Schizosaccharomyces pombe: one gene and its partners. The protein of the gene in region 2 interacts with the protein of the main gene of each other region in a biochemical or structural test. Each region holds a gene or a part of one and is shown on either strand. Other genes may lie near its edges.

What was found.
Region 1: the proteins of smn1 (region 2) and gem7 form a complex in vitro, tested with the Schizosaccharomyces pombe proteins (one study listed by BioGRID).
Region 3: the proteins of smn1 (region 2) and gem6 form a complex in vitro, tested with the Schizosaccharomyces pombe proteins (one study listed by BioGRID).

Annotation. Positions count from the first base shown.
Region 1 is NC_003423.3:2,786,671-2,792,376, reverse strand, and holds gem7 (protein Gem7), read right to left. Parts: upstream 3,908-5,706; coding exon 3,632-3,907; 3' UTR 3,490-3,631; downstream 1-3,489. Other genes in the region: gamma-tubulin Gtb1, read right to left, coding at 35-511, 581-634, 684-796, 859-907; H2O2 scavenger glutathione peroxidase Gpx1, read left to right, coding at 2,830-3,306; rec14 (Ski complex WD repeat subunit Ski8), read right to left, coding at 4,438-5,057, 5,111-5,399.
Region 2 is NC_003424.3:819,288-825,639, forward strand, and holds smn1 (SMN complex subunit Smn1/Gem1), read right to left. Parts: upstream 3,668-6,352; 5' UTR 3,563-3,667; coding exon 3,202-3,562; exon of another isoform or gene 3,143-3,201; coding exon 3,045-3,142; 3' UTR 2,805-3,044; downstream 1-2,804. Other genes in the region: AAA family ATPase Vps4, read left to right, coding at 1-363; protein phosphatase PP2C catalytic subunit Ptc3, read right to left, coding at 876-1,718, 1,758-1,831, 2,090-2,417; SPOM_SPAC2G11.09 (Ca(2+) transporter), read left to right, coding at 4,452-4,497, 4,607-6,352. UniProt on the Schizosaccharomyces pombe protein: The SMN complex catalyzes the assembly of small nuclear ribonucleoproteins (snRNPs), the building blocks of the spliceosome, and thereby plays an important role in the splicing of cellular pre-mRNAs.
Region 3 is NC_003424.3:5,351,901-5,357,500, reverse strand, and holds gem6 (SMN complex subunit Gem6), read left to right. Parts: upstream 1-3,187; 5' UTR 3,188-3,281; coding exon 3,282-3,563; downstream 3,564-5,600. Other genes in the region: rer2 (cis-prenyltransferase), read left to right, coding at 1-109; F-box/WD repeat protein Pop2, read right to left, coding at 259-2,370; pgc1 (glycerophosphoryl diester phosphodiesterase), read left to right, coding at 3,829-3,944, 4,076-4,895.

The DNA of each region.
Region 1 (5,706 bases), on a different chromosome or scaffold from region 2:
TAGTTGATGAAAAGACCTAATATAAATCAATTACCAATTGGTTTTGTTGATGAAACGTAGGGTTCTGAGTATGTAACCGATCAGCAGCAATATGAGCAAGTGCTGCATTGTCCAACACAACAACAGAATCAGCATTCAATGTCAGTCGCTTCAATGCAAGAAGACTGTTGTAAGGCTGAACCACAACATCTGATACGGATTGACTATTAGGGAATACTGAATAAGTTTGGATAATCTTCTTGGGATAACGATCGTTTAATCTCTCAAGCAAGAAAGAGCCCAGCCCAGAACCCGTTCCACCAGCGATAGAATGTAAAAGCGAGAAACCCTCTAGAGAATCACTTCCATCAGCTTCACGATCTATCATGTCCATTATATCTTCAAAAATCCTCTCAGCATGCGAATAACCATTAGCCCAATTATTGCCAGCACCTCCTCCATTTTTGGTAATAAGTATATTTTCGGGATTATAAAGGCTGCCGTAGGTGTCGCTTAGAATATTGTTGACCACCTAAGGTAAAGAGGACATTAGTCACTTGAATATTTCAGCAAATACTAATAAAAGGATGCGATAACATACTCTTGGTTCCAGATCAATCAAAATGGCTCTAGGAATGTATCTAGTATCATCAGACTAAAATGAGTTAACATGTTGAAACTTTAAAGTGTATCAATAAACCAACCTGGTAGAAAAAAACGTCTTTTCGATCAACACCCTCAGTTGCGAAACTTTCTAGCGTGCCATCAGGCCCAATGCCATGTTCCAAACACAACTGTTGCCAGAATTGTGAACCAACTAGACAAGTTTGTGAGTAATTAGAATTTCGATTTGATTAATAGTAGTATAGGTGAACATACTTTGATTACCACATTGACCAGCTTGTAACGTAATGATTTCTCTGCCCATGATTAAACAATGAAGGAGCAAACAATCTTTGATGTTTGCTTCTTACTTAAAAGTACAACCGCGAAAGATTTTTTGCTGAAATAGGTGGTTTTCAAAAGAAGGGTATCTTGAGGTATTTCGCTGTGCTTGGGTGAACTGTAGGTCGATAAGAGAAGGTTGGTAGTAAGAAAAGCAAACATTTTCCAGGTCAACTAGACTAGATTATTATAAATAATTACATATTTCTTGACTATAAATTTATCAACCTTGGAGCTGATTCGAGCATTGCTGCAAAATTCAATTAGGAATGACAATTTTTCTAACAGGAAATTAGAAAGCCAAAGTAAGTGAATTTAGAATGTGTCATAAAATTTAGTATTGATTACTATCGTATCTAAATATTTCTAAATCATTTAGTACATTATTTCGTAAAAAATATATGCAACTTTGAATGTAAATATTAAAATTGAAAGTAACACAATAGACACAATTTATGAGTGTTCGAATAAAAAAATAATAGTGATATAAAATTAGACAATTCATGTGGATACTCAAACACTGAAACAAATGATTTTCCAAAAACTAAAAGTATTTTTGAAGACAATTTTATCTTAATTAATACAGATTGTAGAAAATGAAAAATTAACAAATAATTATTTGGCAAAGGTCTAAATATTTTACAAATTAATAAATAAATAAATTAATTGAAAGTAAAAAAAAAAATTGAACATAAATTTTTACTGAAATTATAATTAAGCTCAATAAGGTAATACCACACAACAACAGTTTGATTTTAATATTTATTTAGCAGGTGTAACATTTTTTTTTATTAACAACAAAGTTGCGAGCTTGTAAAATTGGGTTTTAACTTAAACCAAGATTTATTAAAAAAAGAATGTAAAGAACGACGACATATTTACAATGTTTGGAATTTAAAACTTAATAATAGAAACCGAATATCAACATTTTCTATTTCAAAAAAATACTGAGCATTTCTTAATAGTTATGCATATATATATACCTTTTAGCAAATGATTCCAACTAGCTCTTGTAGCTCAGTGGTAGAGCGCTTGCCTAGTAAGCAAGAGGCCCAGTGTTCAAGTCACTGCTGGAGCATAATTTTGATCCTTTTTGCTTTTTGCCCTTCAAAGGGCAAAAAACAATACTTTTAAGATAATACATAAATAATCTATCACTGATACCTTTTTCTACATCCTACTAATTTATTTGTAGATTAAAGTAAAAAAGTAGTTATACGGTTCCTTGTTTTTGTCAAATAATTTGCCTGTGTCCTATATCTTGTTGCAGTGCATATTCTTTTGGATGGAAGAAATCCCACTCTTAAAGTTAGAAAAAGGTTTCGCTTCACTTTCAACTTTAAGATAAACAACATCGGCCATTGGCAATCTCGTCTACTATTATTTTAAACAAAAGGTAGCAAACCATTACTAGGTGTTGTAACTAACGCAAACTACTTAATCGTTTGCTGCTACAATCGCCCCATACAATGTTTAGATACCTATACTGTTTAAGTATGAGTCTCAGCCATTCTATGCATAACCTTTACAAATACGAAATTTGAAATATTTTTACTAAATAGCAGCAAAAATTTCTGTCATTTTGGTGGTATGTTGACAAAAGACAATGGCAGTATACTGCGACATATCCTTTTTTTAACTTTAAAAGCAGCAAACAAAGGAAAAAGAATGTGAGACTGATTAAATAAATAAGATTTCTTTTGATAAATGCGATCCGACTTTTCTTCCTTGGAATTTTTATTAATTTTACGTAAATTTCTCTTGTTAAAAGATCGTGTTGACCCAAACTAAGGTCTGATGTCATTATGAAATAAGGTCAGCTGGAAACATAAGTAGGACGGTCAGCCGCGCTACACCTTACTTTCAACCTACTCATTCTATTAGTATTGAGTTTTGTAAGTTAAAATGTCTCATTTCTACGACTTGGCTCCTAAGGACAAGGATGGAAATCCTTTTCCTTTCAGCAACTTGAAGGGTAAAGTGGTCCTTGTTGTCAATACAGCGAGCAAATGTGGATTCACTCCTCAATACAAAGGTCTTGAGGCGTTGTATCAGAAATACAAGGATAGAGGATTTATCATCCTTGGATTCCCTTGCAATCAATTTGGAAACCAAGAACCCGGTTCTGACGAAGAAATCGCTCAATTTTGCCAAAAGAACTATGGCGTAACCTTCCCTGTACTGGCCAAGATCAATGTTAATGGCGACAACGTCGACCCTGTTTATCAATTCTTGAAGAGCCAAAAGAAGCAACTTGGCCTTGAGCGTATTAAGTGGAATTTTGAAAAGTTCTTGGTCAATCGTCAAGGTCAAGTCATCGAACGCTATTCCAGTATTAGCAAGCCTGAACATCTCGAAAACGATATCGAGAGTGTCCTTTAAAAAAATACTGGAACAAATTTGCAGTGTAAGCGATCATTTCTTCCCGCTTTTAATTTCAGTGGCACACTAATTCTTCTGATCCTTTGGAAGTTTAATGAACTTCACGATTTACCATCCGTTTGACGCAAAAGTTATTTGCTTTAATCCAGCAAAATATACAATATTACGATATTATTTTTAATATTCCTCCTAAATAAATAACATTAATTATGTTGCGCTTCTATACAACTATGCATACTATGTACATCACGCTTTCTCATCTGTAAACACTGAATTGAATACCATGGCTGTTAAGGCTTCTGTATCTGAAAATCGTAATGTATCATCAAAGTTCTCCTTCTTCCTGCACCAAATTGTATTCGATGCCCACGACGTCTCCTGTTCGTATCACCGCTCTGTTAATAACGCCCCAATCGGTTTGTAGATTGGAAACTGCCAACTTTGACTCACTACTGTCTATCGCTCCAAATTCTGCTTTTACTTCTCGTTGATCGTGGAGGTACACAGTGATCGGGATTCGCGCAGAAGCCATTTTTTGATAAAATTTTAGTGTTCGCATCCTCTGGATGTAAGCAGTAGACTTTTTATTATTTTCTGCCATTAGTGTGAAAATTTATCAACAAAAAGTAATCTTGAATTACAAAAAGTCTTCAAAGTAAAGATTATAACATATGCAGTATGTGCATGGTTTTAAACGGTTTGCGTCGTTATCGTATGTGAGAGTAAACTTTCTAGGCACGTAATGTAATACAGTTAAAACACATAAGAAACTAAGCTAACCATTACCTATAAAATAAAAAATAAACTTTTATAGATATTATGAGTCAACTCATGTTTTAAATACAATGGAAACTTTGAATGAGATTCGTATTTCCTTAGGAATTTATGCTTAGATAATTTATATAAAAAGTAAAAGCGTATCGAACGAAAGTAAACAATGATACAAACATACTTGTAATGATGAAAGTGAAAAGAAAAATGCGTTACCCTAAAATAATCCATTTCAAGATCCTTTCGTTTTACGAGTAAAGTGTTGATATTCATAATTAATCCAAATATTAGAAACTCCTTAATTTTTTGCTATTTTTTAAAAACTTTTCCATCGGTCATTAAGAAAGCACAAGAGTGCAATTATTCTGTAGCAGCAGCTCTATACCAACGAATACTTTTATCAGCACCTGCGACGATGAACCCATTTTTATACCATGCCACAGCCCAAATAGCTCCATCCGTTTCACTTTGTGTACTAATACATTCCATGGTGTCAATATCCCAGATTTTGATTTTTCCTTCAACATCAGCCGAAAGCAACAAATCACCTACGGGATTGAAAGCTACTGCAAAAATCCATGCAGCATGACCACGAAGTTGGCCGACTTGATCCCCTGATAAAACGTCGTAGATAGTAATCATTTTAGAATCCCCGGCAGCAGCTAAAAGTGTTGAACCAGGAGAGAACGCCACTGATCGTACAGGGGAAGTGTGGCCCGATAGTACATGAAACAAGCGTCCTGTTTCTGTACTTATAAGGAAAAGCTGCCCAGTTTGATGACCAGAAACGATAAATCTTCCATTGGGAGAATAGTCTATACAAAGACCGAATTTACCTTTGGTATCTAACTCGGAAATTTTGCAATCACTTGGATTGTCCCAGACAGCAATACGCCCGTCTACAGATGTGAAAGCAATCGTTTGTCCATCAGGGCTAATGCAAGAAGACCAGCATTCGCTGGGATGTTGAGCATTATTACCTAAATCATATTCGTTAGAGAAATGCATAGCTTCTTCGTAAAGTAATTCGTACCCAAGTCTCGAAATTCATTAGTTTCAGGATTCCAAACATAAACATCCTGTCCAAATCCGCAAGAAACGACGACGTTTTCATCCAAGCTAGTTGCTAGATGATGAACGCCAAGTTTATGAGGGGTATCTATTTCTTCAACTAAGCTATGCTCAGCATCACCTATAGACCATTTTTTTATTTTGGAATCCCCAGAAGCCGACCAAAGATTGCCTGCGACTACATTGAGAGAGTAAATGTCTGCTTGATGTGCATTTTCTTCTATATGGCTAACGAGATACTCTTTCCTCATAGTATCTAATAAATAAGGAAAATAATACAACAAAATTAGTAATTAAAATGCTGGCGCTTTCCAATACTTTATAATACTTAAACCTGTGACTAGCAGGACTTAGTTTACTGTGGTTGCGTTCTCCTTAGATATACACGGTCTATGCACATACCCTAAACATGTTAGTGAAAAGATGAATTTATAAGTATGAATGAAAGAAAATAATTCTTTTCTGTAGGTAGAAATGAGAAGGTGAGATTATTAGTTGTTAACCGTGACACTGAATTAAATTGTTTAAACTTTTGGCAATAGTAGGTTTTTCAAATTT
Region 2 (6,352 bases):
TCGGAACTGACCTCACAAGATTTCAAAGAACTTGCTAAAATGACCGATGGCTACTCGGGTTCAGATATTTCTATTGTTGTTCGTGATGCAATAATGGAGCCTGTAAGACGAATTCACACAGCTACCCATTTCAAAGAGGTATATGATAACAAGTCTAATAGGACCCTTGTAACTCCTTGTTCTCCTGGTGATCCTGATGCATTTGAATCTAGTTGGCTAGAGGTGAATCCTGAAGACATTATGGAACCAAAACTTACTGTTCGAGATTTCTACAGTGCAGTTCGTAAAGTCAAGCCTACGCTTAATGCTGGTGATATAGAAAAGCACACACAATTTACAAAGGACTTTGGAGCAGAGGGATAGTAATATGATAAAGGAGCTATTTTCGCTTAGTTTAATGATACCATTATTGTAAAGAAGTATAATATCATGACTACACTCACAAATGTTGAATCACTTTAGTAAATTATGGAACTAGTAGAATATTGAAGGGAATGTATATTGCTTCGACAATATCTATTAGGGCAATCGGAAATTAGTCTGGGTATGTTTACTCATGCCAGAGAAATATTTTCCATAATCTTAACTGATTTTGAATCAGGATTATAAAAGACAGTATTCGACAAAATTGATATAGAAATCGCATGCTATCAAAAAGTGCAAAGTAGCAACGTACCAAAAACCTTTTCATTCTCGGAGGTAATCGGTATACGTCGCAGGCACGTATTATACGAACAACAAAAGAAAAGCATGAAAAAATGTTGAAACAAAACCGCCTAGCGTGACTTTTATAATAAGTCAACAAATAATGCTAATTACGAGGAATATTCCTAAAAGCAAGTTACATTGTGTAATATGCGTGAAGTAGGGAATAATCAATCTGCTGCAGACACAGCCTCCTTATGATCATCCGCAACATCTTTGTTAGAATTTACGATATCGGTTTCACTTGAAGAATTTTCCTCCTCGGCTTTATGAGGGAAAAAGTGTTCTTTCCATCTGAACCCAGCTGCAAGGGATCCGTTGGTGGAATCATCTTCCTTAGAATTTTCATTCGCATCTTTGTCATATCCATCAGATCCATTTAACTTTACTTGATGAAAATTAGGTGGGACAATAACTTTCTTATTGTTATCGCCACTACGCCATCCTGGGCCATGATTTTCGGCATACTCAGGAGGAGCGCAGGGTCCGTCGTTAGCGGCAACTCTATCTGCAATCTTCTTATACCATGCTGATTTATCGTTTTCTTGCAATAAGGCAACTATACAAACAGTCATGTTGTCACAACCAAGGCCGGTAGTTTCGGTGTCACTGGCTATGCAGTTATCCATTAAATTTTCAGCAATCTTCTCAAGAGAGGTTCCAGCAACTATGCCACGTCTAACAAACTCGATCACTTGCTGCGAAGTCTTGCAATCCCAAATACCATCACAAGCGAGTACGACGAATTCATCATCGTCAGTAATCTCATGTACAACAACATCCGGTAAGGCAGTAACTATTTGTTTTTCTGGTTCTAAATTACTGTTTTTGAACTCAAAATCACCGATAGCTCTTGACAAAGCCAAATTTCCATTTACACGGCCAAAGTCTACAAAGCCACCAGCCGCACAAATACGGGCTTTTTCGGCTTCATTTGAAGGCTTATGGTCTGCTGATAGAGGTTTTGCAATTCCCTTACTGCCAAGGACAGTTCTTGAGTCACCGGCATTAGCCTACACAATTAGTAAGACTAAACAACTTCCAAGACTTACACAATAAAGTTTATTTCCAACACGAAGAACAACAGTGGCCGTGCAACCTGATGGATCCGTATGAAATTGATCATCTGTCAAAATAGTTAGCAAAATGCAATGTAGTGAAATGACAAATTTTTTTTCTGAAACCAAACTAAATGTAACAACTTTTCAACATCAAGAGGTAAACATTTCTATTATCTTGGTAACAATTTTTCTAAGCATTAACTAGACAAAAGAACAAAAAATCTATAAAAATTTCAAACACAAAATTCATCAATTTTTTGGCGACTTTAAAATGGTTATGATATCAATGAAAACAACTTTATCATTGTTAACAACAAACTTACCATCCAAAATAGCTTTATCAGCATTTAAAAATGAAGATTTCAAAGCATTAACAAAATCGCCTTTCTGAAAATCAGGATTCTTTTCAAGAATCTGAGGAAGATTGCTTCCACACCATTTCGCGACTTTGTCTCCACCGTGGCCGTCATAAACCGCAAAAAAGTCGACCGGGTCTTTTACTGCAGAGCACTCCATTGAAAGTATAGCAGAATGAGCATCTTCCATTGAGATACGCCATCCTTGCATGCTTGAAAGTCCATAAAGGACGAACTCATTGCTCCCGTTCACCGAGTGCTTCTCGGTGACTGGCTCTGATAATGTCTGACCCATTGACAGCTCTTGCTAATAGATGACACAAATTTTCACGTTTTCTTTTTGTGTCGCTTCAAAACGGGTTATGTAGTAGTGATAGGTAAATCGCTAGTAGGTGGTGGAGCTTGTCGGAGGGAGTGTTGTGGCACCCTCTACAACTACATCACCACCGTGGAGACGAACGATAGTTGTTAAAAGACTATGGAAGGTAACAAGATTAGCAGTAGTCAAGGCATATATGTAAACAACAGAATAAATGGTATCAAGGACTAAATACTTATAAATTTCAAATGTTCATTAAAAAACATGTGTAAACATAGCATATCCTATAAATTGATTTTTCAATGGTTTGCATTTTACTATGACTACAATAGAGACAAAAACAACGCTGAGTAGAATGCCCCAACAAATTCAGCAACTTGATTCAGAAAAAATTTCTATTAGGCAAAAATGATATTATTTTGATTCAATTAAAAATTCCATTGGATTTAATAAATGACCAAATAAATTCTACTTATTAGAAAGAAAATTGAAATAGAACTATTTGATAGGAGTAATAAATCTTAGCAATAGCAAGTAGGATAACAGTTTTATAACAACATCAACAATGAAGATATACATAACTTTGAAAAATAGCACAAGAAGCTAATCTTTACGTTGCTCACTTTTAGCAAGTCCTTCAGCTAAACCTGTATAGTAGCCCGCATAGTACCAGCTCATGATAAGCTTTTTGTAAGTCTCGTCTAAATCATTATGTTAATAATAGAGAGTCATAAATTTTCTTAGAAGACCTTTTACTTACCATATGTTAACCCTCTTATAGGGGGAGGAACTTCCATAAACTCTTGATGTGTCTCTGCTGCCCTTGTTTCAGGCTTTTCGTCGCTAAGGCCTTTATTATCTGCAAACTGTTGGATATGTGTATCTCCTTCCAATGTCGTCTCTGTTTGCTGATTTATCATCTGCTCACCTTCTTCTAGCTTACTTATTGATTCTTCTGTCCGTGCAGCTGAAATTAATTTTTCACCATCTAGCCTAGAATCCGGGTCCGATACTCCTCCCTTTGCTTCAATACTATGATACTTTTTGAATTCATGTAAAGCGGTTTCAAAGGCATTTCTGAGCTCTGAATCATCCCACACTTCTTTTTGGCTCTGGTCCATTTTTGGTACAAGTTGTAGATAATCTATTCCTGTATGTCTTTCTTTGTACCTTAAGAAAGCTTTATTAACAAGTAGTTTCCAACTTTGTTAACTCTTATATTAATTGAATATTATTAAAGTGAAAATATTGTTTATAAAGCACAACGCGTATAACGATAAACAGTTTGAGCTCGGCGATTCCGCTTACTACAACAATTATAATCTGCTGTGGTAACTTAGCTCCTTGCCTTAACTATCAGCCGCCTTAGTGGACAGGACTACAAGAATTCGAGGTCAAAGATATAACGAGGTTCGCACATGGCGATGTGAACTCGTGGAAGTATTGTGAAAGAATGTTTATTCCAATTCATCTTTGTTTACGATTTTGGCTTTATTATACCAAAAAGAAAAAGGAATTGTATAAGCTACAAAAATCAACCTAAATCAGTTATCTAATATCCACACGAATAATTCATTAAATGCTACATGCGCTAATATGGTTTAGCGAGGACTTCTCAGTAAGTTAGCTTTCTGGGATAGATTTTAAACTACCTAATTGAATTTAAGGTAGCTCCACGTAATTACGTTACATATTTTTATGCATCGTCATCTTAATTTACGTTAAGTACATATCGCATTCTGAAAGACCATGCGAATGGGTATTGGATGAGTATCGTTCTACTATCCCTCCTCTACATACATTCATATTTTAAAGATTTTCGTTCATGAAAAACTATCATAACATATTTCAATAGTGTATCTTTTGATAATTTCCTTTTTCCGTTACTTTTTACATGCATATAATACTTGGATAGATCAGATTTTTCTTGTTCTCGATTTTCTGAAACGATCGTTCATTCATTCCTCGATAATTTGACGAAAGGACCCTTAAGTTTGCTACTTTGCAATAATGGCTTTCAATGGATATGGTATTTTCGACAGTGATCCTAGAAAAAGTAAGTATACCTATCCTTCCCTCATTTGTAACAAAATTGCTAACGTTGTTTGAATCTTCGATCTGCGGGTGTTAATTCCTACAGATTCGAGATTCATCGCTGAAAACAGATCCATCGAGCGATTTAAGAACTCAATTTTGGCTCGCCTTTTTACTTGGAGCCTCTGCATGCGTATTCTTTTGCTTCTTTCGTAAAAGATGGAAAGTACTATATGCCCCTAGAACTACCATTGAAGGTCTCAATTTACCTACACTTTCTTCATCGTACTACAAATGGTTAATGGATTTAGTAAACATCCCTGATGATGTAGTGCAAAATTGTGCTGGTTTGGACGGCTACGTTTTTTTATTGTTTTTTAAAATGGGTATAAAATTCCTTTCTTTTGCTTCCCTGCTTGGCGTTTTGATTATTATGCCCGTCAATAAGCATTTTCGTGGAGATGCATTCGGGAATATTACTTTGTCGATGCCTGCCAAATCTGAATATTTCTTCTCAAGTCCACTTGTCAAGAAGTCAATTGTACAATCTCCTATTATTGCTAATGGTAGTGAGTTAAATGTTGGTGTGTTAGGACCTTCTTTATTTAATCCAATTGGTAATTTATCTGATATACCAGGTCTTCCACAGCCTGGTGATGGATTTCTCTATCTTTACGTTCTTTTTACTTACTTTATTTCCATTTTTCTTCTTTATGTTCTTTTTTCCTCAACAAAATCGATTGCTGACATTCGTCAATCATATCTGGCTCGTCAAAATAGATTGACGGACAGAACCGTTTTTATATCTGGTTTACCTAATGAACTTTGTTCAACGGAAAATTTAAAAGCATATTTTGATAAATTAGATGTGGGTTCTATAGACAGTTTAAGTATATGCCGAAATTACTCATACATGGATATATTACTGTCTAAAAAAAGTAAATACGTCAAGAAATTAGAAAAATATTGGTCTATCTATTTAAGTAACTGCAAAAAGCTTGGAATTTCCACTTTACCTCCTTCGAATTATCTTAGTCCAAACAGAGCAGAACTTGAATCAACACCAGAACAACTTTTGGAGGTTCCTTGGCAACATCATCAATGCCATCCGTTAATAAAAACTCATTTTTTTGGTATTTTTGGTCAAAAGATTGACGCAATCGATTTTTATTCGGCTAAGCTTTATAAAATAAGCCAACAGATTGAAAATGCTCGTTCTTTTGATTATCCTACCACAGGTCAGGCGTTTATAACGTTTGAATCTATGGCGACTGCGCAAATTGTAGCCCAAACTCATATTGACAGCAAATCATTGATGGGTTTGCATATTGAACTGGCACCTGCAGCAAATGATATTCAGTGGCATAATACCTATATCGGTAGATGGCATAAGTTTTTTCAAGGTTGGTTCATAACTCTCGTTACATTTATGATAATCTTGCTATGGACTGTTCCTGTGGGAGCCATTGCCGTATTTATTAACTTAGATACAATTCGAAGACTCTGGCCGGAACTTGGTCGTATGATTGAAGATCTCCCTTTTTTAAATTCTTTGTTGCGCACTTTCCTTCCAACGTTGGTTTATTCACTATTCATCAGCATTTCACCATTTCTTTTTCGATGGTTATCGTCTATGCAAGGCCTGAGCTCTCGCGCTGAAGAGGAAATTTACGCTGTTGGTAAGAATTATGCTTATCTCTTTGTAAACTTTTTTCTAGTCTATGTTATTGCTGGTTCAACTTCAATTTGGGAGTTAGCAAAAGATACCACCAGTTTTGCGCATTTCCTTGCCAACAGGTTACCACATCAAGCTCAATTTTTTATCGATTTAATAGTTTTGCAAGGTATTGGAATGTTCCCTTTGAAATTGATACAGC
Region 3 (5,600 bases), 4.5 Mb from region 2:
TCACAAAAATACGGAGATAAAATTCATCGATTTCTACTGGCCGGATTTTTCTATCTGGAAGTTTTTCCCAATGTTAATTCAATACCAGTTACAAAACCAACCAGCATAATTTATTCAATCCTTCGTTACTTATTTACTTTTGATAGGCTTTGGCTGTTAATTTTACATTGTATACATTTAATATGTGTTAGTAGCTGATGTAAATAGTTAGACACTACTCTAATTATGTCTTCTTAAATATTGTTAAAATGAAACTTTCTACGGTCTTGATCCGGAAAAATTAATAACTTCCAAATATGCTTGATCATCACGCTGCACTGCAGCCACACAACGCATAGCATCAAAATCGACATGCCATATTTTTGTGAGGTCTGTTAATAGAAAACGTAACAGCTTTCCAGTCCTAACATCCCATAACTTTACAGAACCATCATTACCACTAATAATTTTGTGTTCATCTGACACAAAGCTACTAATGTAGCCTGAATTAGACGGCAAAACCATTAATGGTTTCCCAGTATTCAAATCCCATATTCTAATTGTGGAGTCAGCAGAACCTGATATCAACCTATTCTGGAATACATTAAGAAGCGTAACAAAGGCATCATGGCCTTCAAGCACATATTTACAAGTCCCTGTCGATAAATCCCAAACCCTAATGGACTTATCCATGCTACCGCTTATGCAAATATTCCTTTCTGGTTCATATAAAACACTATATATACGAAGACTATGACCCCGCAGATGGTAAAGACATTCCCCTGTTGAAACTCTCCAAATGCGAATTGAAGAATCATAACTCCCACTCACAAGTATATCACCATAGCCGGATATAGTTCGTACAGAGTCTGTATGTCCTATCAAAGTATGTACAAAATACGGGTTCTTCTCCCAACGGTCAATAGAGTTTGTATTATCTGGAAGATAAGGAGGATCCGTGTTTTTTGGAAGCTTCCAAACCCGAAGTGTATGATCCCGAGAGCCGCTGACAATGTACGGTTGATCTGGTTCAACAATTTCAACTCCATGGCGAATAAGACGACTCGGAACTAAGATCTCTAAGCATCTGATGATGGAAATATGTCCCCTAAATATGTGCGTACATTTAGCTTTCTCTATGTTCCAAACGCGAACAGTTTTATCGATCGAACCAGATACAAGTGTATTCTCATGTATTTTGACAGCCCAAACACCTTCTTTATGACCCTCTAATCGAGCTTCTAAAACACCGGTAATAGCATTATGAATTTGAATTGTTCCAGATCCCGAAGTGGTGATTATTCTGTCTTTATGAAGTAGTAAAGAAGTTATCATAAAGTTTGGAACATGAATGGGAAAAGATAGATGACTTGGAGGTATCGAAGGAAATAACCATCGTTTTCTATTGAGAAAATGTCTTTTGAAAATTTCCGGAAAATAGTCATCTGAGATTTGGTCGTTGTGCAAAAAAGGTGGACGATTTAAGTTTGGATTAGCATATTTCCAGTCATTTTCATTGATTTGAAAGCCAAATAAACTAAACATGTGTTTCCAGTATGAAGTATGCACATCAAGTATTCTATTCCAAGTAGGCGAAACAAGACGGCAAGAAAGAAAAGAATGTATATCCAGATTTAATAATATAGACTGAACAATGGAAAAAGGAAGATTTGAAAGTATATCTTTTTTTAGAAGCGGCTCGCATTCATTCAATAATAAACGCATCGATTGCCGATTGCACGAACGGAGTAGTTGAAAAAACGCATAAGATTGAATTCCTTCTGGAAGATCCTCAAAAGTTTGAACAATTGACTGTAAGTTTAAATCTTCAAGATCCTCAGAGATAGGTTTACTACCAGGTGAAACAGTGTTTGATGTGTCGACTTTCGGAGAAGGAGGGAAATTGTCGGAGTTAGATGAAATGCTATTATCTAACTTAATTCGATTGTTTCTATCAATTGATATAATTTTAGGTGGAAGAGAAGAATGAGAATATAGAAAATTCCTTTGAGGAACAAGGGAAATGGAAAAATCGCCAGGAACACTATCTGGCGGTGAGTGGTCTAAGCATTTATAAGAGACATTCTCTATACTTTCATTAAACTTTCGAAGAAAAGAAGGCGTACAAGAATGCTTTAATGGGTACTGATACGAATCAGTGCACGGCAGGGAAGAACTCGTATTGCCATTACAACTATTTGATTCTGAGCGAGGATCCGATGCAATTTGATCATCTTGAGGAAGCAGGTTATCCCCATGAATAAGTGAAGAAGGAAATACTTGAGGATCAAATGATTCTGGAGGTGTAGCAGGGCTGCTGCTATTTATTAAAGGAACAGAGGAATTTATACGGGAGGACGAATTGTCAGTTGGACACCTAGAGAGTGACATGCGTAGATGCAATGATTGTGATTTTTCGTTGAAATAAATAAGAAGTCAAAAATGAGCTTTAAGGAAAACAGTCGATAAAACAATCTGAAAATAAATTGGAAAAGAGACCAATGAAAAAGTTACTGACAGATTGGAAAGAAGAAACAACACCGTTATGGTTTGTTTCTACAGATTAATCAAAAACTGGCATATGCCGAAATTAGATACAGATTAAAAAGTGCGGGCATAAAGAGAAAATGAATAATGGAAAGGTTTTTTTATAAGTAATCTTTTAATTGAAAAAATAACAGAAGCTCAATATGCGTTGTTCATACCATACAGAATCTTTGTGTGTGGTAGGAGGCAAGTTCTGGCGGAGAATTTGTAAACAAAAGTTCGTACAATGCGAATGCAAAACTTGTAATAAAAAGATACATGAATTGATACTTTTTAAGTAAATAAATATAAAGCGGTACCTAAAACAGGAAACATGGATTAAGAAAATTGAGTAGAAGTTATATGATACAGATTAGCGTAAGCAGCGTTTTCAAACAAAATATATGCATTTTTTATTTTTCTGAGCTAGAATTTGATGTTCGTTGATAAATAAAATAAGTTTTATGGAAGTTAATACGAAAACTGATTGTAAATCCCATTGCTGGTATATTGTTAGCAAAAAAAACCATAATGGCCTAAGTATCAGTTTCATAAATTCAAAAACAACTAAAAATTTGGGTTCGAATGAAAAACATACTTGATTTACGTCTGCTACGGAAGCTATACTCATCTTGTAATTCCACGCCTCTCATACAGCTACCGAAAATTGCTACTACTTTTTGACCTGAACATAAACCGTGTTTTAAAAAGTTTGGTTTTTATTAATGTTTTTTTTATCTTTTTTGTTTTCTCACATTATTTGAATAATTAATGAAATGGATTCTCACACAACAGAAAAGCGTAGAGGTTCTTACCTGCGCGTCCTGTTTAAGAATGGACGTTTACCAGTAGAAGGATTTCTTTGGAACTGTGATCCCTTGACTGGAACATTAATTTTGATTCAACCTCTTACTCCCAATACAGACGAGGTTGAAGATACTCATTATCGTTTTTATGGTATAATGTCGGATGCTATTCAGACCATTGAACCCGACGAAAGTATGTCTCCTCTTAATCAACAATCGCTAGCAGAATATGATTCTCTATTAACTTCATGATGCGAATTGCATTCAGCGTTTGAAATATATGATTTGAATCTACAATTCTGATGGATAATTCGCTTCTTTTGCGAGGGAAATGTTTTCCTTCCTTTATCGTAAATTAACTATATAAAATATTGTTATACTGAATTGACTTCGACGAATCACTTCAACGCCTTTTTTGCAACCTGAGCGGAGCGGAGTGATATCATCGGACTACAGTAACTGGTATATAGTTGCTACATTCTTTACTTCTCCCAATACCAACATCGTTCTCTTCAAAATGGCTTTTAACTACTCAATTGCCAATACCGTTGATGATGCTGCTCAAAGCATTGCTGAAAATACGAGTTCTTTAGCCACGTTTTCAAAACCGCCTTTGGTCATTGCTCATAGAGGGTATGTTTTATGAATGTATTAGTTGCATACTGCTTTTATTATTAGTAGACTTAGTTTCATATCTGCAACTTTGTACCCTTAATTGTCAAAATCCTTCTCCAATTTAGCAAATGTTTAACTTATGTTTACAGATACAAAGCTAAGTATCCTGAAAATACTATACTAGCATTTCAACAAGCCGTAAAGGCTGGTGCTGACTGCGTTGAAACAGATGTTCGACTAACTAAAGATGAAGTGGTTTGCATTTTGCATGATAGAAATCTTAACAGAGTATTCGGTGTTGATGTTGATGTTCGAGATCTTGATTATGAATTGGATAATGGTCATTTTCGTACCATTCAAGAGCCTCACGAGCCGTTACCTACCTATGAACAATTTTTGCATGAATTAACCAAGCATCCTGGCGTCAATCTACTTGTTGACATTAAGCCAGTAAACGATTTGTTAATTATTCCCAGAATGGTTGATGCAATGCTTCGGGTTAATTCTGATTTAGACTTTTGGAAAGACAAAGTATCGTTTTGTTTATGGTCACATAGGTTCATCCCTGCTTGTGATCGATATGCCCCATCAATTCCGTTATATCATATTGGATTCAACTTCGCTTATGCTGAAAGACATTTTGTTATGCATCCCAGAGTAAAGGGTGTCAGTATGGCTGTTGCTCTGTTTTTACTTCCTCATTCTCAGGATTTTGTTGATCTCGTTCATGCCCAAGGTAAACAAGTCTTTGCATGGACTTTAAACACACCTTCTTCTATCTATCTTGCTTTAATTAGAGGCTGTGACGGACTTTTATCTGATGATCCGGTGATGGCTAGAGCTCTTTCCCAAGGCCCAATTGTTACCAAATCTTGGCATTATTTCCATTATTCCGAGTGGCTTCATATGATTTATGGTTTCTTACGAGCACAATTTGTCTTCTTTTTATTGAGAACCTTTGTGTTGTAAGTATGTTATTCTAAATATGGAAAATACATATATTATGATTGATGAATACTAGAATTCCGGTTTTAGTGATTGAGCATTTTTGTTGCTCTTCCATTTGTTTAAATCCCATCTCCCAATTTTTTCTTATTTGCTTGAGAGTTTACGCTCTATCTTTTTGTATTATTGCAATCGCTCACTAAAGATTTTTGTCATTAGGACAGCCACGTTGAAGCAGAAAAAAGAGAAATTCGCAAACATACGTGGCATTTCAATTGATAAAAAAGTTTTTTTCTATCGTTTTTTTCGTTTCAAAAATATACTTATTTACAATAAATAACATAACTTGGCAAGGCATTATGCCGTCCTAAATAATTTGCATTTAGTACGGAACAAGCGTATTCTGCAGTAGTAGTTTAATCATTGATACTCTTATTATCTTATGAAAACTAATATTTAAGAACTAGTTAACACTTTTAATAGTTTGAGTCAGTATATTAACAAAAGAGCCTTGATTCATCAACAATAGATGCTACCAGTTAACTATTAATATAAATTCGTCTATAAGAAGTTCAATGAGATTTTCTAATTAAAAAAAAAAAAACGTACTTAATTCGAAGCATGCTTCTAGCTTAAATTATCAAACAAATTACAAAGAAATGAATTTTATTTTTTTAGGGATATAATCAATGGTTAATTTTCAAAGAAAAAATTATGATCTGGTTCGTG